4 linked regions of the Caenorhabditis elegans genome follow. The protein of the gene in region 4 interacts with the protein of the main gene of each other region in a pairwise test. Each region holds a gene or a part of one and is shown on either strand. Other genes may lie near its edges. The genes, in order: math-14, lir-2, rrsr-1 and gei-4.

The links.
Region 1: the proteins of gei-4 (region 4) and math-14 interact in a two-hybrid assay, tested with the Caenorhabditis elegans proteins (one large-scale study listed by BioGRID).
Region 2: the proteins of gei-4 (region 4) and lir-2 interact in a two-hybrid assay, tested with the Caenorhabditis elegans proteins (one large-scale study listed by BioGRID).
Region 3: the proteins of gei-4 (region 4) and rrsr-1 interact in a two-hybrid assay, tested with the Caenorhabditis elegans proteins (one large-scale study listed by BioGRID).

The regions. Positions count from the first base shown.
Region 1 is NC_003280.10:1,867,486-1,871,312, reverse strand, and holds math-14 (MATH domain-containing protein), read right to left. Parts: upstream 1,894-3,827; 5' UTR 1,891-1,893; coding exon 1,778-1,890; intron 1,731-1,777; coding exon 1,453-1,730; intron 1,236-1,452; coding exon 1,109-1,235; intron 1,059-1,108; coding exon 623-1,058; 3' UTR 508-622; downstream 1-507. Other genes in the region: math-15 (MATH domain-containing protein), read right to left, coding at 3,530-3,827.
Region 2 is NC_003280.10:7,665,535-7,672,421, reverse strand, and holds lir-2 (C2H2-type domain-containing protein), read right to left. Parts: upstream 5,156-6,887; 5' UTR 4,417-5,155; coding exon 4,372-4,416; intron 4,019-4,371; exon of another isoform or gene 3,995-4,018; coding exon 3,771-3,994; intron 3,717-3,770; coding exon 3,504-3,716; intron 3,454-3,503; coding exon 3,045-3,453; intron 2,577-3,044; coding exon 2,507-2,576; intron 1,944-2,506; coding exon 1,763-1,943; intron 1,712-1,762; coding exon 1,292-1,711; intron 713-1,291; coding exon 628-712; 3' UTR 513-627; downstream 1-512. Other genes in the region: lir-1 (LIn-26 Related), read right to left, coding at 314-379; rpa-1 (putative replication factor A 73 kDa subunit), read right to left, coding at 5,489-5,602, 5,648-6,532, 6,582-6,677, 6,730-6,887.
Region 3 is NC_003283.11:14,423,258-14,426,566, forward strand, and holds rrsr-1 (Ribosome biogenesis regulatory protein homolog), read right to left. Parts: upstream 1,752-3,309; 5' UTR 1,748-1,751; coding exon 1,647-1,747; intron 1,593-1,646; coding exon 855-1,592; intron 802-854; coding exon 639-801; 3' UTR 527-638; downstream 1-526. Other genes in the region: rpoa-12 (DNA-directed RNA polymerase subunit), read right to left, coding at 1-41.
Region 4 is NC_003281.10:343,763-350,272, reverse strand, and holds gei-4 (BZIP domain-containing protein), read left to right. Parts: upstream 1-1,845; 5' UTR 1,846-1,872; coding exon 1,873-2,055; intron 2,056-2,108; coding exon 2,109-2,228; intron 2,229-2,363; coding exon 2,364-2,432; coding exon of another isoform or gene 2,433-2,585; intron 2,586-2,835; coding exon 2,836-3,234; intron 3,235-3,389; coding exon of another isoform or gene 3,390-3,404; coding exon 3,405-3,505; intron 3,506-3,764; coding exon 3,765-3,984; intron 3,985-4,163; coding exon 4,164-4,250; intron 4,251-4,414; coding exon 4,415-4,807; intron 4,808-5,190; coding exon of another isoform or gene 5,191-5,199; coding exon 5,200-5,334; 3' UTR 5,335-5,967; downstream 5,968-6,510.

The sequences.
Region 1 (3,827 bases), on a different chromosome or scaffold from region 4:
ATGTTTACAATGCAATATTTAATACAAGGATTCAACATCTAAGATTGTTCTGAAATTTTTTAATAGAATCCAGAACCACAGTCATGATAGTATTGACAGAGAGCAGAGTATAAGCTGAATGTGCAGGGCAGAAAAATTGACACCAAAGAAGACTCACAGAACATGCATCTTATCAGTGAACAAGTGTACCAATAAGGAAGTTGAAATTGAAAGTAGCAATATAACTTTTCATGGAAAAAAAAAATTTCTTGGAGCCAAGTCGAATGAAAAGTGAATGATGGGTGAAGCTCAAGTACTAGAAAATTGTTCAAAACCGCTTTAATTATAACAGGAAACCTCCTCACAATCAGTCATAGAAAGCCTCTGAGAGGAAATTGAAAATCGAGCGTATAGTTCTTTATCGGTAGAAGTTCTTCCTTATAGTTAGATTGTTCATGTCATGTGAAAAGTGCTCATTATTTAGTGCTATACGTAGGTTCATATTGATTTCAACGCTAATTTCCCTTTTTCAACTCTTATAAAAATCTTTATTTCCATCGAATAATGATATTGGAAAATTGATACTTAGAAAAGAGCACAGACAGTAATAGTCGACGGAAGCAATTTAATGAAAATTGATAATTTATTGTTTCTTCACAGTGTAATTTTGCCCTCCGACATTGATCACACACTCAGAGAATTCATCTTCTAAATTATCACTACTCGAATCATTTTCTGAATGGGATTCGCTCGAATCGTCTTCTTCATTCTCACTGCTGGATTCGTCGTCACTTTCTTCAAGACTAGTGATTTTTCCACGAGCTTCAATAATGATACTACCATTCACCATATACTTCTCTTCCATGTCATCCCATCTCATGAATTTTTGAAAACCTTCACCCGATGGATAAATAAACAAGTCTGAATCACTAAAAGTCAAGCTCTGTCCATTCAAAGACACCAATCTTAGTTCATAATCTAATTCGATACTCCAAGATTTTCCAGGATCCTCACAATCCTCTTTTTCACATCTCAAAAATAATCCAAAAAATCCATCATCTCTTTTAATTTGCATTCTCCTTAAATTGAATATAGTTTGAACTAATGTACATATTATTCAATAAAAAACCATGGAATATTGTGACGTATCGTTGTTTCAGTGTAATAGTCGTCTCCTTCTTCAATGCTTGAAATATTTCTAACAGTACTGCTTAAAAGAAACGTTTTTGAATCCTCGTCTTCGTCGCATGGTAAGTCTGTAAAAAGTGTTATAGACAGAAATATAATAATCATTTACAGTCTAAAAATATGTCTGCGTCTTTCTTAATATATGATAAATACTTATAGTGCTACTAAAAAATACTTGTATTCCAAAGGTCATAGACACTCACCAGTCTAAAATTTTGAAAACATTTTTTCAAGCTTCAGAGCAAGTAACCAAGTTTTTTCGTAAAAAATGAAAGTCGAACTCACCAGTTATTTTAATTATTTTGACATGAGCTTCAACTACAACACTATCATCAACTACATAATCACTTTCCAATAAATCCCAACTAGTGTTCAGACCACCATCGAATATATTTGAATTATTGAAAGTGAACTTTTTGCTTTCCATCAAACTTTTCCCGTTGTGTGATACTAATTTCATCGTCCAATCAGTTTCAATCGACCATTCTCTGTTGTCCCAATTGTTTTTTTCACATTTCAATCCAAGACTAAATTCATCGTCACACTTAGCGATGCACATTCTCCTAAAGCACGTTCACCATTATTTCTTAAAACGTTTATCAAACAAAACCATGGAATATTGAATCGTTCTTCTGTGTCAGTGTAGTATATCTCTTCATCCACAAATCGTGAAATATTTTTGACAGTCGCGCTTAAGCTGAACTCTTTGCACAATTTAGACATTGTTCTGAAAACTTTTTCATATTACAGTAAACGTATGAACGTACGTTCTCTGTAATATGAAAAAAAATACACACATGTGAAAATAACAAAACAAATTTAATTATAAAAATCAATACTCAAAGAGAGCAAAAAAAAAAGGAGACGGAGCAATTCGATAGGTCTGAAGAAACATATGCAAGGGGACGATTTAAAAATGAGTTCTTATCAATGAAAAAAAAATTCCTAATATGGTGCAATTGACAGTTTAATGTAAAAATGTCAATTTTGCAAAATACAATGAGAAATTTTGTTTAGTTGCATGAAAGTTCAGAACTAAAACATATAATTTTTGGAACAAATAATTTTCAAACAAATGAAAAAACACTTTCAGAAAATCAGTATGGCGCTATAAATGTAGTTGTTTTATAATTTAAAACTCTTTCTTAGATTGTGCAAATATGCCAGTTTGATGGAGAAAAAATGAGGAATCTGTTAGGAAATTTTCAGAATTACTTGTTCCATTAAGATTTTTCACTCCAAGAAAACCGGCTGACGCCGATTCCTGAACTCAAAAATTACAAAAAATTCCTCATACCTTCAAAACCTTTATAAAAAATCACTGATAAGAGTATACTTATAGTCGTTTCCTAATAGTGTTGCTACGTTTAAAATGTCTATTCATTACAGTTTGAATGGCTTATTTCAACAATTTTTTCTATAATATCTTGATATCAACTTTCTTTTGAAAAAATTGACCAAACTATGAAACTGTTAAAAATATCCTAAGATTTGTGGATAGAGAGGACTACCCCACCGACATGGAAGAACGAGTCAATATTCCATGGTTAACATTACAGTTGATTTTCACAATATTTATAAAAACGGAAAATTTCAGCACTGAAATTTATAAAAATTTTCACCGACTCAGCTTTCAAAAACAGATAATACAATGGGATTGTCTGAAAATCCTGAATAACATGTCTTTATTAGACACAGCTCTATTGTCAGTGCTCCATATAAAAACAGGCTCCTGTAACAGGGATAAATTCACAATTCATTCAACATGAACTTCATCATCTACATTCTTGTCCTCATCGCATGTGCTCCAGCTGCTGTAAGTTTTCCCATTTTAGGCCTTTCTCCAAATGTTTTTTTTCAGATATCGATTTCCCACCAATTCCGGGAGTTATTGGAGGGTTTGGAGGAACAATTCCAGGAGAGACGGATGATTCAGGAATGTTTGAAGAAGTAGGAGCAGGAGTAAGAAAAGCAATTCCGGCAATTCGGAAAGTCGTGGGCGATGAACCAGCTAGAATTCCAGGAATAGTTGAAGAAGTCGGAGCTGCAGTTAGAAAGGCAATCCCAGGAATTCCGTCAACTGTATGAGCCTTTTTATTAACTGTGACATGTTTGAGATAAATATATTAAACATTATGAATACATATTTTTGGTTCCAAATGGGAAAACAAGAAATGTGTGACCAAATTTAGGTTCTGCTTTTTCTCTTTTTTTTTCAATTTCTTTACATTCAACCATTGCTCAAGATAGGTAAGGTTTAATTGATTTATGTAGAGAGTGCAAAACTAACGTTCATTTTAGGTTGAAAATAGAGAAGTTTCATATCACAGTGATAAAAATGAATTAGAATGAAAAATGCAGTCTATTGTCTTTTTACAGAATAGTTTTTCCCTCCAACATTGATCACACAGTCAGAGAATTCATCATCCAAATCATCAATACTTGTTTCATCTTCACATCCAATCGTTTTGGTTATCTTAACACGAGCTTCAATAATGATACTGTCGTTCACCATATACTTCTCTAGCATATCATCCCATCTTATGAGTTTACCATAGCCGTAACCAGAAGGCTCTTCGAAAATTGATGTGCTAGTGAGATTCAAGCTCTGTCCATTTTGAGACAACAATCTTAGATCATCCTTTACTTCAATTGTCCAG
Region 2 (6,887 bases), on a different chromosome or scaffold from region 4:
ACTTAAATTTTGAATTCCGTATAAGAAAAGTGTTTTCAAATTTTTTTTCGATTTTTTCTTTAAAAAAAAAACGGAATTTTTCGTTTTTTTTTCAAAAGTGAATTTTTTTGGATTTTCTCAACAAAAAAAACCGACAATTTTTTCAGCGGCACCCTTGTTTAGGAAGTCGATTCGAATAATTAGGGGATACCAATGGTTAATATGGACCGAAAAAGGAATCAGAGGTACAATTGGAAGTTCTATGCAAAGTTTCAAACCAGAGAAAATGAGTAAATCAATATTTTAGATAATTTTTATAAATAAAAAAACTCACGCAATAACTGAGAAGATCGATCGTTGCTGCATCATCGTTCAGTTCGATGACCACAAATTTCGGCATCCCGGCCGGGTTCGAATCGTACGAAGACGACACCTATGTATATTATTTATATTATTAGGAATTACAAGAGCACGATAAAGATATTCAGAAATAGAAATAACTATTTAAATAAGAAAAAAGAAATTACCACAAATAATAAAAAGACCGACGATTTTATTGAAAATCGAGTAAGAACAAAATTTGCGTTGTAAAACTTAAAATTAAAAGAAAATATTATAAATATCAACGAAAAAAATTTAAAGAAACTATTAAATTTTTGCTTCTTTTCCATATTGATGATTCGGGAAACACTTTGCCATTGTATCCAGCCATTCTTTTCGTACTTCTGGTGTTCTGAAAAAAATTGACTTTGTAAGATTTTTTTATTTTGGAATGAAACGAATTAAATTCAGTTTTCAAATGGACATCGTCTGAATTGGATTTTATTCAAACATTTTTAATTTTTTTTAATGGAGCGATCTTGCGACAGAATTGAATTTAAAAAAAAAATTAAATATGCTCTTTTGAAACATTTTTAGTCTAAAATATGATCTAGAAAAAAAAATTTCTAAAATTTACATTTTATTCAAAATTTCAAATCTATTTTTGCGGGTTTATGCCAAAAATAAATTTTTGGCTTATCCTCACATTTGGATAAAATTACCATTTTAAATAGAATGGAAAAAAAAAATCTTGCGGTGCAGCTGCAACATTAGTAGCAATTTTCGTAATTTATAAAACAAATTGCGTACATTTTAAAATAATTATACAATTAAAACAGAAACCGGCTTTCATGCTTTTCGAGTGAGATTAGATAAAAAAAAATAATCTCAGTGAATTAGTGATTCAACTAAAAAAGAGCTGTCGCACAATTTTTAAAATCTTTAAAAAATAATTTTTTTAAAATTTTTTAAATTCAAAATAAAAACTCACATCATATTCACAGGTTCGTGTTCCGAATTGTGTTGTGATTGTCCGTGCTGCTTTACACGAACTTTTCGTACAGCTTGATATGGACATTGGGAACATTTGAATGGTTTATGAGTGGAGTGTTTCATCATTACGTGTTCAAAGAAATTCCATTTAGAACCACCAGAATTCAGGCGAATTCCAATTCCACAAATCTCACAAATCGCTGTGACTACATCTCCACAAACACTTCCAGAACTTCCACATGATTTCATTCGTTTTGGAGATGGGGAAACTTTTCCAAAAAGTGCCAAACCAGTCCGTATAGCTTCAGTTGCTAGTTGTTCTTCCAATTCAGCAGTTTGTTCATCAACTTCTTCACTAAATTCATCATCTTCGTCATTGCAAGGTTCCAGTTTAACTTCTACATCAACACGTTCCACTCTGAAATTGAAAAAAAATTATGAAATGAAAATTCTAATTTATTAATTCTACCTGCTCTTGATTGAATTCGTCATGTCCAATTGTGATACAGGGGAAACCGGCAATTCTTTGTTAGTTGGTGGAATTGGTGTTGACCAAAATGGTGTTCCATCTCGAGAAATCTCATCTGTTTCAGGTTCATGTTCATAGTTGGAATATTCTACCGTATCGAGTCTAGGCGCTCGAGGTATACCTGAAAAAACGGTTAAAATGTTTTATTTAATTTAAATAACAGCTGCAATTAAATTAATGTGATAATTTTCTGATGAGAAATAGGAAAATTGTTAGTTTCATCTCTCAATTTCCGTTTTTCGGTCATTTTTTAAATTTTTTAAACGAAATTTCTTCTTTTTTTAGTGAATCTAATTTTCTCGTTTTTGTTTCGTTTTTTAATCGATTTTCCGAAATTCGAAAAAAATCCGAAAAAGAATATATTGATTTATCGATTTTTCAATTTTCGTTGTTAAAAAAACCTAAATTTTTCTTTTAAAAAATAAAGAATTGTTCATAATTTCCGATTTTTTTTATTTTTTAAAAGAAGTTTCTTATTTTTCTCATCGAAATCAACATATTTTGGATAAAACAATAGTTTTCTCGACTTTTTTTCGGACATTTCTTTCATTTTTCTCGATTTTGCGATGTTTTATTTTCAGTTTTATCTGAAAAATACTGAGAATCAACAAAAAAAAACGGAAACTTTTTTGATTGTGACGAATTCGCTTTTTAAAGACAATTTGGGAAGTTTTTTACACTGACCAGTTCTGATAGACGATGCCACCATATCCGAACTTCCGATGTGCTGAAATCGAGAGAATCCATGATCAATCTGAAAATTATAAATTTTTTTAAAATTTCGTTTTGAACTAACATGAAACTTATTCTGCCTTCATTTGCTACCTGATTTAGCTTATAATAGTTAGAATCAAATAATTTCAAGCGAAAAGCTCACAAAAAGCTACACTCAACACACACACGCAACGCGCACACGCTCGCGCACCGCTCTTCACCCTGTTACTTCTCCAATGTCTCTTCGCTCACTATTTCTCTGCCTGCGCTCACAGTCGGAAACTCTAATTTCACGCAATGTTTCGGCGATTGTGAGCGTGAATTGAAGGGTGCTACCAACTAAATTTTTATTCTTCAAAGAAGATGTCACTGAATGAAGACGAAAATGAATGAAAAAACAGAAAACATTTAGAAATAACTTTTAGAGAAATGAAGAGCATGACAATCTTATTTCGATCCAATTCCAAAATTGGAACCAAAAATAATAATTTTTATAAAAAGTACTTACCAAAACCGATAATAGTCTTTTAAGTTCTTGAGGAGATGAAACATCAACGATCAAATGTGAGAGATATTGGTTTTGAGGACTGGGTAGCACCGATAAACGATTGCTCTTTTCATATGGACTTGCTGCACGACGTTTCCTATCATAATTGCTAACATTCGGATTCCGAATTGCTGATGGTGCTCTCGCCAATCTCACAGGCTCTTTTCGCAACAAAAATCCATTTTCTTTCGATGTTGAAGGATCAGATAAAAGTTTACTGAGAAGAGGGGCGCGAGTTGCACCTAAAGTTGGTAAAGAGATAACAGCTTGTGGCTCAGAATCTTTGCTTGAAGCTGATTCCATAGGCGATGACATCGAAATCGGTATTTCACTTTTTGATTGTGACGCCGATGAAGTTAGCAACTGACTTCTGAAAAACAATTTTAATTTCAACGAGCAAAAATGAATAAATAAACTTACAAAAGAGATTGATGACTTGTTTCAGTGAACAAATTTGTCATCGGTTGCTGAATTTGTTCATTCCCAAATTGTTCCGTTCTTCCTTTTTCTTCATCTTCTATGTCAAGGCAAACTCTGGCAAGTTGTTCATCATACTCTCCGATACAAATTCTCCGACGTACGAGTTCTTCCATCTTTTCATCAGTGGACATTTGATTAGAGCTTGGAATAGTTCTGAAGAAAAGATGATCATTACAGAAACCTTTAAAAAATGAAAAATTTTCATACTTCAACTCGTCTTTTATTCTCGCCAATAGAACCTTTTTTCGATTGTGAAAATGCGACTTGACTCGTTCCATTTCAGCTGGAATATCGAATTTTTCAGTTACTTTATCAGCGATTCGAGCCCAATGCTCATTCCTGGCGACATTTTCAGTTGTCAACCGGCGATATGAATTTTTGATGAGATCATCACTTCTTTCAAGAACCAAGGTGATAATGTAGTTGCTAACCTGAAAAAATATTAATGAAAAGGTCGAAAAATGGCGCATGAGAAGTGAAAATCAAAAAAATCTGACCCAAAATAAAATTGAAAAGTCAAAAAAAGAGATCTCACATGTTTTTCGAAACTCGAGAATGTGATTTTGAAAAAATAGGCGGAGCTGCGTTCAAAAACCTGACAACTCCTTAATTTTTAAAGACGAAAAACGTTTAAAGAATACAAAAGACACATAAATTTATTAATCTTGTTTCATTTTGTTTAAGATAGTCAACGCCAATCATCGGGGAGTTTCGAAAACCGCAAAACGCCGTTTCAAAGGTACAGTGACCATCAACAACTGTGCTCCATTGGAATATTGCACTTGGCGCTAATTCAAACCAAACTTACATCTCGGCTGATTTTCGCAGTTCGGGGGCCATTAGCTGCCAACATGACTGTCACTGATCTGAAAATGCTATTTTACTTTTAGAAATTGAAAATAAAATGGGAGACGGGTGGTGTCAGAGTGTCCCATTCCAGCTTAATCCGGGAATTTCCAGACATTTTTCCTGGGTAGCAAATTCGAATTAAATTCCCACAATTTTCAAATAAAAAACCGAGATGGGATACTGTGACACCACTAAACTCTAAATTGAGGAAAACAATTCGTGAACCTTTTTTTTTTGAAGATAACTAGAAAAGGTTGCGAATAAACGTATTAGGTGAAAAGAAACGGGATGAGCATATGGAGATGACCTTTATTGGGAATAGACACGGAGAACACCTTCTGTTGGGAACGCATTTGTGTGTGCTCTCCCAGACACTCCATAAGGTCAGCTGCATAACCCTAAATTGCATCGACAAATCTTAACAACTGCAACAGAAAAGCTACACTCAAAATATAAGACGGAAATTTTCTTTCAGCACGGCTTAGTTTGGACGAACAATTTGAAAGGAGTGTTCAAATTGCAACTGTTTGGAAACATAATAAAATCATTACGGAATTTATTTTTTTGGAAAATCAAAACAGGTGATAAAAGACGTTTCTGTAAATGAAAGTCACTAGTCTTTTCCACTAATCCGCCAATGTCTTTCATGGAAAATAAGACAAAAAAAAAGACAGCGTTAGAGAGAAATAGACGAAGAGAGCTCAAAGAGCTCGCTGGCTGCCCACGAACCTGCGGGTTAGCAATGGAAAATGTGGTCGTGGGCAGAGAGACGTAGGATAAATGTGGCAACCCAAGGCCATTTGTTGTCGGGCAGTCACCCGCTCTCAAGGACGCTGCAACGACCCAATGCTGTCACTTCAGAACACATCTCGAGGTCACCTGGCACTCAAAGATAGGCTCACATCGTATAGTTTATTCGCTAGTAAATGAGATGAAAAACATTGTACAAAATCAGCGATTGTGGATGTGAGACATGTGATAACTTTAGGCTCAAAAAAGGTTTTAATAATATTTAGGTTTTTTTAGATTTAAATGAAACAGTCGAGATCGGCACGATGTAATAAAAAACAGAACATTTAGTAGTCACTCATTTGTTGCATCTGCTCGATCATTTGCTTCAGATTTTCGATGTACTTGTCCTGATTGACATCATCCACACCATAGACAGTCATCTTCTGACGAACTTCTTCCTATAAAGAAAACAATCATAACGGATCTTCAAGAAATAAAGCTACATTGTACGAATCCATCTTGCAACGAAGTCTCCACATCTTTGGAACAAACTGAAGGCGTTCGAAAATAGCGTTGTACTCATCTGGGCTTTCATCGTGCAATTCTCCAAGCTCCGCAGCTGATTTTCCAACAATCTTCGCAGCACTATCTCCGAAAGCTGTGACATAGACCTGTCCGGTTTCGTCCGAAAGTTCAAACTGCATCATGTACAGCCACTTGAACTTGTTCATGTTCTTATTGCACTTTTCGCATCTGTAGTCACCATTTTCTCCCACAAGTTTCTTTTGGCAACCCTCTGAAGCGCATCCTCTATAAAGAGCATTCGTAGGATTTACTCTGGTAATCATTGCTTTGACAGTTGCGTAATCTCCCTTGTCGGAATCCTTTCCAAATTGCATTTCTTGGAGTCCTGCAATAGTACGTGGAGCTTCATTGGATCCTCCAGCAGCTTGGCTCATCATCTTAACTTCAGTGGTTGGTTTCACGTTTGCGTACCAATCATAGAGTTCAGACACTCCAGCGATTTCTGGCACCGAAATAATACGAGTTGCTGACCCAGTTCCCAAAGAGAATCCTCCATTAAACTCTCTTGGAATAACACCTTTGAATGCGATTACTTTTTGAACATAGTCATCAACAAGTGCTTTTGTTGCTTCGTCTCCCCAAAGTGTCAATCGAACAAGTGCTCCAGACTCGTCAATCAACTCCATTTCTCGCTTGATCAGAGATTTTCCAGCCTTTGAAGTGAATTCGGTAGCCTCTGGATCCATCTTTTCAACCACGACGAGAACGTCAATCAGTTGTCCAGCATATCCAGCGATTTCACCTAGCTTCACTCGTTTGAGTATGAGCTTTGGAGCAGCAAGCAATTCACCTCCAGCTTCAATCTGAAAATTTAATATTTTAGCTATGATGAATCGCTTTAAATTTACTAACGATAGAATCGCTGCGAAGTGTGATCTCGTAGTCGTGTCCAGTATTGTTGAACTTCTTATTTGCTTGTTTGACTGATCCACCAGACAAATAATAAGACTGAAAATATTAAATTAATTATTATGCATAATCCGATTAAAATAATACTAACAAGATTCTCGGTGATTGTGGTGTACAAGGACTCAGCAACCTCGTTGAATGCGGTACATCTGATTGTATCTCCGTTTGAATCGGTTATTTCAAAGTTGAACACTTTCGTGTTTTTCGCTGGGAAAGTACGAATTTCCTCCTTGCGTGATACCATTCCGT
Region 3 (3,309 bases), on a different chromosome or scaffold from region 4:
CCACAAAAGTCATCGTCGTATGAGAGGAAGTTCAAAGCCATTTTAAGCTGAATTAATGAAGTTTCGACTAAAATATATTGTTGAAGGTTGAAAAATGATGAGAACGCCGAAAAGATGACAAAATTTAAAGGGAGTGCGATGGAGCACGCTTGGAAATTGAGACACTACCGATTTGTGACTTTCGAAGAAACAGATTGCTGAGTAAATGGGAACAGCACTTTACTAGTTGAGAAAATATTAAGTCTTGACAGGCAAATTGTTAAATGATCTAAAATCACTTATCTTGGTTTGAAAGATGGCCGAGTTGCTGGATCTGGCAAAGAAAACTCCGCCTATTAATTTCATAGATTTGAAAATCGCGAATCAATGTTGGCTTTCTTACATTCAGAGAAAAAAAAAACATGCCAGAGAAAAATAATTGGGATTATATAAAACTCTGAACAAATTTAATAAAATAACCTATCCCAGGTAAATTCACAATCGAGAACTAAAACATCATTTCATGAAGAAAAGTAACATTTTCTACTTAACAGAACATTTATTTATTGAATGTTAAAATTTGATGAATAAAAAAGAAAGTAACAAAAAAAATAAACGAATCAAAATCAACAAATTTGAATAAAAAACAAGAACATAGATTATCCCTTTCTTGCTTTGGCCTTGTTGGCTCCCTTCTTTCCAGCACCACCAGTACCCTTCTTCTTGCCGTCGACCTTGTTTTTGAACCACTGTTGTCTGTGAATCTGACTCTTCTGTCTTGTTTGATCTTTAGCACCTTTCCTCTCCGATTTTTCCTTCTTCCTGAAATTAATTGAATTGAATAACGATAAAGGCCTAATTTTCTCACTACTCACTCTCTCAAAGGTCCAGCAACTGCAGCAGCCTTTTCTTCAACAATCTTTGCTTTCTTTGACTTCATTCGTTGAAGAATCTGGAGAGCACGTTCTTTCTCGCCAGAAACTGGAGCTTCGTTGGCTTCGAACTTTCTCTTCTTGCCAGTTTTCACGTTGGCCTTCTCTCCCTTCAATCCTTCCTGGAACTTTCCAGCGGAAGCTGTGGCAAGCTTTGCACGATCCACTGCGAAACGAACTTGTTGCTTTGATTTTTCCTTGGCATCGACTCCTACTCCGATCATCTTTTCTGTCGATGGACCGCTCTTGACTGTTGTCTTCATCTGACGAGCAAGATTCTTCATTCTCTGCATATCGTTCTTTGCAACTCTCTCCTTCTTCTTTTCGCGTCTCTCAGCAAAGAAATCCTTGTTCGGATCTTCTGCGTTGTCAGGAATTTCGATCAGCCAATCCTTGGTATCATCATTTCCACGTCTGTATCCATAGGTCGGTTTCCATTCCTTTGTCGCTTCATCGAACACCTTCTTATCCTTCTTTCTCTTCTCAATTCCCTTTTCAGCAGCATATTTCTCCCATTTCGTCGGCTCTTTTTTCTCTGGCAATCGTTTCTCACGAGGAAGACGGTAAGTGGCGGGAGGGAGAGTAACAATAATAGCCTCTTCTACTCTTTTTTGCTCCAGCTGCCAGATGTTGTTGAAAAGGAGTTGTGTGTTCTTCCTAGCACGTTCCTCGAGTCCTTCACTGAAAAATTATGAAATTTGCTGGTTTAATTAATAACGAAATTCTATAATATACCTTGCGTCTCCTTGGATTGGCTCTCGATCAATAAACAGCAGGTTACCCAAGTCAATGATTGGGTCAATGGCCTTTTCAACCTCCGTCGATTTGTCAGCCATTTCTCTGTAACATTAAAGTATTAACTGAAACTACTGAAAGTAGAAAAACGCTGCAACTGAACGGGAAAGACAGTGCGAATGTATTATAGAAACAGCTTTTCAGAACTGAAGCTTAAACAGCAATCGGCACCAATTTTCGTATAACTGTTATAAAGAAAATCAAAACTTTAACCGAAATCTAATTTTTCTGACTAATTTTAACAGGTAAATCATTTGAAAAGAGAACTGAAAGAGCTGAAAACGAAAAATAAAACAAAGGAAATAAGGGCGTGGCTTCTATTGCAAGTGGTGCGCGTGGTTTTTGCAACGCCACCGCACGCATTTTTCTTTTATTGTAGTTTTCGTCATCTCTCACAAAATACGAAGAAAATGTGAGCACATTATGTAAAGTAAAACAAACCACTACAAGCTTTTAATTAAAAAATAAATTACATTTAAAATTAGTAGAATCAGACCATCAGAGAGAACATAACGTCTGAAAGCGGATCTCTGTGAGTAATGTGGGTATTTTCCTGATTAAATGATTTCAAGAACCTCGATTAATCTGAAAACTCTTATGAAACTATCTTTCATAGGTTAAAATGCTTGAGGCTCAAAAATTTCCCTTTTTCGGTAATTATCCAGCGCCCTTTATAAATAAAAATGAAGAAAATTCTCTGTTCCAGCTCAAATTTCCAATGAGAAATATAGAAACAATACACCATATACATAGTTAGTAATTTTGATGATTTGGATCCCTAACATATTTCTCAAAGATACAAATGTCATCATGGAGCATACATTCCACCGCAGAAGGCAGCTCAATTATTAAATTTTATTGGGTATTGTTTACTCCTAACCGGGTGGTCCATAAAATTCTATTGTCCCAGATTTAGGATACATCGAAATGAAACCCTTGAATCTTACGGTAACTTTCAACACAAAAACGATGCCGCCTGATACTTGTTACGACAAAAGTTCACATAAAAATAAATCAACGAATTAGTGATTTTTCTGTGTTGAAAGCCGAAATGCGCGAAACTTGCACACCCCGCTTCCCTCATAAATCATCAAACAAATTAGCGAGGAAAAGAGTTTTGATGAATTACTGAGAAGAAAGGGTGTAACATCAATAACAACACTTTGGAGAGAGTATGTAACACCCAACTACTTACCATACATCTGCCTTTTGTTTCGGAAGCCGAACGGAGATCCTCAACTACAAGGTCATTGTATTATGATGTTGATGAGCCGAGATTGAAATGACAGATGACATAGGAATATGGACACTGAATTACCGGAAATTGGTATGGCTTTGAAGTCAGGAGAGATCTCGAGAGAGAGAGAACACGTGGGAAAATGGTAATTGTTGGCATATTTCTTACTGTGTGAATGATCTTCAAGGTGGGGTATCGTTGGGAAATTGTTTTGAAATTTGTTCTAAAAAGATAAAAAGAAGCGTACAACTATTCAAAAAAATTTAACTTTTTGAGTTGAAAAGTGGTGAAAGCTCATCATAGTTTTGGAATTCGACCAAAAAATGTTCTTTCTACGATTTTTATATTACGTTTTAATTGTTCCTA
Region 4 (6,510 bases):
CCCAAGAGGCCTGATATCATAGCCTCTGAATACGGTAGAAGCCAAGTTCTGCTCCTCTTCCTCTCCTTATACTATCTCCTGTGCTTCTTCTCCTTCTTCTTTCCTCACTGAGAGTGCCTGAGAGTTATTGTCGGCCGTCATTCGCCTCTCTTGTTTTCGAGTCTGCCGCACCCTCCGATCCATCTCTCCCCATCTTTCTCTCCGCATCACGTTACCCATTCATTCGGCACTCCTCCACGCACTCTCCACAATCGATACGCTGTCGTCACGGCCTCTAAGCACACACACTCCACGACGGGCGCGCTCTCTCGTGCCGGGTGTCTCGTGATCTCCGCCACTCGGCACAGTGTCTAGTGATGTTTGGACTCTCCGCAGCGCGCATTGTGTATGCGAGTGTGCAACGCGTCTCCGCGTCGCGGTCGGCCTCCCCTCGTACACAATGCCCCGCCCGTCTCCAATCTCTCCTCCCTCTCGTCCTATGCGCCCCAAATCGTCCTCTTCTTTTGTGTATATGTTTCGTTTTCTCTTAGTCTTCTTCCTCTTCTACTACTACTACTTTTTGCCCCCCGTCTTGTTCCCTTCATCTCCCTACACTTCTTCTTCTTCTTACCATCCCCAACCGCATCCATCCGCCATCACACACTCTTTTCCGCTGATTTTGGGAGCGCAGAGACAGAAGGCAGGCAGGCAACAAAATAGTGTGGTTAACAGTGATGATGGGAAGAGCATGGGCGGTTTAGGCGCGAAGAGGACAAATTTGAATTCTAAAAATCGACTTGAAACGGAGAGGTACAGGTTGGATTTGATGCCTTGGCCGTGAAATGGGAAAATTCGGAGGGATTTTCAGAGAACCCACAGCGATAGGAATTGGAAGACGGTATTAGAACCATTACATTAGGCTTTAGGCTCAGGTACTTGGATACGGGGCCCTCGTGGTGTCAGGCTGTCCTACTATGGTTTGATCTACAAAAAAATGCGGAAATTTTTGGCCCATAAAAATGTGACGTCAGCAAGTTCTTAACCATGCAAAATCAGTTGAGAACTCTGCGCCTCAACTCCGGCATTTTTTGTAGATCTACGCAGATCAAACCGAAATGAGACACTCTGAGACTTTTTCGTGGGGACCGCGGATATAAAAGGTCGGCCACCAAAATTCATTGCTCTTCTAGAATGCTAACTCTGCCTCTGGAACCCAAAATACCTCTGGATTTGCTGAAACTAGCTTAAAAGTGGATCAGCAGGACCTTTTCCGCAGGATTTAGAGGGACTGACCGAGTTTTCTCTTTCACGGCCACCATGTTCAAGCAGTGCACCTGGGCACCTGTGCACACAGCTCCAACACGAAAAGAAACTAAGATTTTTGCATTTTCAGTAAAATTCAGAAAATTCCACGTGGATCAGTGAAAATTTGGCGCAATTCCGTCGAAATTAGTACATGCTGGGACTATAATAAGAATTTTTTAAGCTTTTGCAGTGAGATACGTTGTTTTCAATTTTATTTTTCAATTTTTCAATCAAAATTCATGTATTCTTCTTTTGTTCCAGTCATTTTAAGCAGTGTTTTCATTATTCTAGTCTTATGAAATTCGAAAAATTGAGAAGGAGGCAAGTGCGCTCCAGTGACACTCCGGCAAATTTGAATTCGAAACTTATCTGCTTCTCTATTTTTCTCACTTTCTCCATTTAATTTCTTATTTTTCTTTGGTTTTCCTGGTTTTCCTTGGTTTTTCTTCAAAAAATTAATTTTTCAAGTGATTAAAATTGTTTCCAGCACAATTATATCCTTATTAAATCGCAATTCTCATCGGAAACTAGCTTAAAAACCTAAAATTCCAATTTTTTCAGGCTCGGAAACACAAAAAATAATAAAAAATGCAGCAGAATATACAATACACATACAGTTCGGATCCCCGCTCGGGCGGTAATCAAAATCAGCAGCTACACGGAATATCGCAATTTCAACAGAACTCCTATCAGCCGACGACGTATTCAAATTCAAATGCGAACAATTTTCATTCCTCTAATTCCGCAACTTTTATACCTAATTCAGTGACGGTAGGGGATTTTCAGGAAATCGAGTGAAAATGTTCAATTTTATTTAATTTCAGCAAACACCTCAGCGGCGGATGGGAGAAGAGAAGAGTTTAGTTAATATGCTTGACGCTTATTTTATCGACAGTACGACACCTTCAACATCAACGTCGTGGAATAATCAGCAGCCAGTTCAGGTAAAAATCGTAAAAATCGTGCGATTTGGCTTAAAAAAATGGCGGAAATCTCGAAAAATCTCGATTTTCCTCATTTTTTACCGTAAATTCTATCGTAATTGTGGTTGTGTTTGTGAATCGTGATTTATTTTATAGATGTCTTCAATACAACAATCAGTTGGATCATACAATCAACAAATACCTCAGTTGAAAGTAGGAGATGTGGTAAATTCGTTGTTTTTTCTTTGTTTTTTTTTGGGGAGAATTTCGTGTTATTCAGTGATTTTTTCAAGGAATTTTGAATTTTGCAGCTCGAAATCCGCGTGGATTTTCGCATTTGAGCGGATTTTTCAAAAAATTTGCTCAAAAAGTCGATAAGTTACTGGAACTTGCTTAGTTTTGCAACTATGGTCTGCTAAATAATTAGCAGACCAAAGGTGGGTATGCTAAATATTTAGCAGGCCCAAGTTGGGTATGCTAAATATTTAGCAGACCCAAGATGCGAAATCGAGCAGAATTTGTCCATTTCTCGAGTTTTAATGCGAATTTTAAGTTTCAACACACTGAAAACACGAATTGAATGAAATCACGCAGCGAACTCACCGAGCACACCTCAGAAACATTTCAGGACCTACAAGTAGAAGGAATGAATGTTAAACTCTCCTCGTCACCCGACAAAGGCGAGAAGGATCGAGTAAAGAAGGCGCGACAGGCAGAAGCCGCCCGAATGCGTTATCACCGACTATCAAACGAAGAGAAACGAGAGTTAAACCTGAAAAGAACGTTGGCGCAGAAGCGAAAACGGCAACGTGAGAAGGAGATGGAGGAGCTCGAATCGATTTTGCGGGAGACAAATGACATTCAAGAGGATCCGGACATCACCGAACAGCTCAGAGAGAAGAGAATGCGGGCCAAGTGGGCAGAGGCCGCCCGTACACGTTACGCTAGAATGACGCCGGAAGAGCGCCGGGCGCACAATACGCGGAGACGTATGCGGCAGATGCAGAACGCGATGAGCGCGATTAAGGTGAATATAGAACATTGAATTCTAGCAGAAAATCTGGAAAATTAGCGGAGAAGAGGAAAATTTAATTGGGTGAAAATCTATTTTTGGTAAAATCTCTCCTCCCTAACACACAAAATTTGTAATTTTTCCGCTGCTACCGTGACGTAACATTCCAGAAATCGGAGTTTCAGGCATGTGGAATGGCTACAGGAGATCCACAGAAGGACGACGAGGCTGTCCGGTTGCACATCAAGACGCAGAATGCGAAAAAAGCGGAGGCGGCTCGTCAACGGTAAGGAAGAGATTCGGGGGAATCAGAATAGCTTGGGTCTGCTAAATATTTACCATACCAAACTTGGGTCTGCTAAATATTCAGAATGGGTCTGCTAAATATTTAGCATACCCAACTTTGGTCTGCTAAATATTTATTTGGGTCTGCTAAATATTTAGCATACCCATCTTTGGTCTGCTAAATATTTAGCAGACCCAACAATTGCGAAATTCACCTGAGTTTCCACACATTTTCGATCAAAAAACCTCCAAATTTCCAGATACCATCGAATGAACGATGACGAGAAGCGCGTCTACAATCAACGAAGGACAGAAGCGTTCCGCCGCCGTCGTATGGAAGAAGAGATGCTGCTCGCCATGCCTATAGGCCGTATCAACGGAGAAGCACTGGATCGTGCTCAGCAGATTGTGGTCCGAAACGCGAAACGAGCCGAAGCGGCACGTCTTCGCTACCAGCGAATGACGCCTGATCAGAGAAAGGTGAATATATTTTTGCTACAACTAATCAATCACCAACGAGAGACAGAGAGGGTCTTGCGATGACTTTTAGTTATTTTTGAGCACGAAAAATTTGAAAATTTGCGCTAGCGAATCCAAAAAAAAACCCCGGGTTTCTTCCCCAACTCTCCGAGATCTCAGACTCCTAAATTTTGTTGTAGGTCGCGAAACAAGAACCGAAAGAAGAGTCTTGGCCCTCTCATGAGCAATCTGACACGCAAATCGACCATGATCTCGATCTCGGAGACGTTAGTGAAACCTTTTTTCTTTTATTTTTCTTCTTCTTTTTTTTGAATTTTGGATACTGAAATTGAGAATGAGAATGCTTGTTGTGTGTAGGCTTTGCGCATGTGTGTTTTCGAAAAACAAAATTTCAAAAAAAAAAAAAACATTTTAATTTTTAATTTTTCAGTCGTACAATCAAAAACGCTACACTCCAAAGCGTCGTCGCAACGAGATGGACGACATGATCAGCGCCGGACAGATGGCCGTCGGATCCTCTGGAACCATCACAATGGGCACCGGCACCCCCGCCAAAAAGGACGATATGGACGCTCTCTCCTCGTTGGAACGTGACGTCGTCAAGCGCACACAGCACGCTCAGCAGATCCTTCTCCGACAACGCGCGAATCAGTCGTCGGGAACGCCACGCTCGGTTACACCACCGCCACAGGCCTATATAATCTCGAATGGTCAGCAACAGCACCAACAGTTGGTTGGAAATCAGGGAAACAATGGGATTGGACAGCACCAGGTGCTCCATCAAGGACACATGCAACAGCAGCAGATTCAGGTGTCACACCAGGTGAATATCGATGAAAACTAGGAAAAAATGAGTTTTTGAGCGGAATTTTGCTATAAAACTCGAGGTTGGGTATGCTAACTATTTAGCAGACCCAAAGTTGGTATGCTAAATATTTAGCAGGCCCGAAGTTGGTATGCTAAATATTTAGCAGACCCAAAGTGGGTATGCTAAATATTTAGCAGACCCAAAGTGGGTATGCTAAATATTTAGCAGACCCAAAGTGGGTATGCTAAATATTTAGCAGACCCAAAGTTGGTCTGCTAAATATTTAGCAGACCCAAAGTTGGTATGCTAAATATTTAGCAGACCCAAATTTCAAAAAAAAAATTGATTTTTACTCAAATCTCCCCAATTCTAGAATCATCCAACTAATCAAACTTTAGGATTTTCAGCAGTCGTCCCAATCGATTCCTCAGAACATCTACACTTCTGGCATGATTATCCAAAATCAGGGACAACAGCAACAAGGCCAGCAGCAGCAGCAGGGACAGTCTCAACAAATATTGAACAATCCTTATAGAACCTAATAATATAATAATTCCTGTTCTTTTTTTTTCAAATCTTCTCTTTCTGTTCTTTTTTCTTCTTCTTTGTCCATTGTTTTTCTTTCCTCTGAAAATTGCATCTGTATTATTTACTGAAAATCGCGTAGTTTTTTATCTTTTTTTAATCAAAAAATTCAACAAAAAAAACCACTAAAAATTGAAAAAAGTTTGCAAAAAAAGCCCCAAAAAATAAGTTTTCTTCCTCTTAATTGTTAATTTTTTAACGTTTTATTCAACTTTCCATTTCTAATTTTCACTGTGACCCAATTTTTTGTTTCATTTTTCTGAAACCCCCATTACCAATAATTTCCAGATATTCTCATTCTCAAGAACCTCCTCTCAAATATCCGAACAAACCCTGCGCTACCGTGAAATCTGCCTTAAACCCACCCCCATCTAGAACTACCTGAAAATCCATGTTATTTTTACATTATCCTTTTTTTCCCCCATTTCTTGTTTTAAAGAAAATATTCACCCTGCGTCTCGAAATTCTTATACTCTATCCCCATCCCTCTCCCACACAAAATCCTCTCCAAATTTCCAAATATTTGGTAATCTGAAAATTTTCGTCGAATTTGAATATTGACGATTAATTAGAATAAAAATTGAAGTTTATTCCTGAGTTTCCGATTTGAAAATTCCTTTTTTTAGCGTGTTTTTTTCAGCGTTTATCTACTTTCTTTTACAAAAATTGTAATAGAAAAAAATCGATATTTGCCACGTGGCAAGCCAAATTGGGTCTGCTAAATATTTAGCAGACCCAAGAAAAATTATTTAGCAGACCAAAGTTGGGTCTGCTAAATATTTGGCAACCAATTTTCTCCAGAAATCCAATTAAAAAGCTCAATAAACCATGAAAAGAGCATTCAGTTGTAAATATTTAATACGAAATTCTATTTCTTGCGGAAAATAATAATTTTCTTGCTGTTCGCACTGGGAAGAGAGGAAATCCCTCAATTTTCCATCCCGATAATTGCACCTTACACTCGGGGTCTCTCGAGAGTTTATAATTAGCTTTTATTTTCAGAAAATACGTATTTTGTTTATCAAATACCCCGAAAATATGAAAATTCTCATGACAACTGGGGAAAATCCATAAAAAAGTGGCAGTGGGCAAGCGCGCTCCATTGATAACGTGCATTTTCCGATATTTTTCCA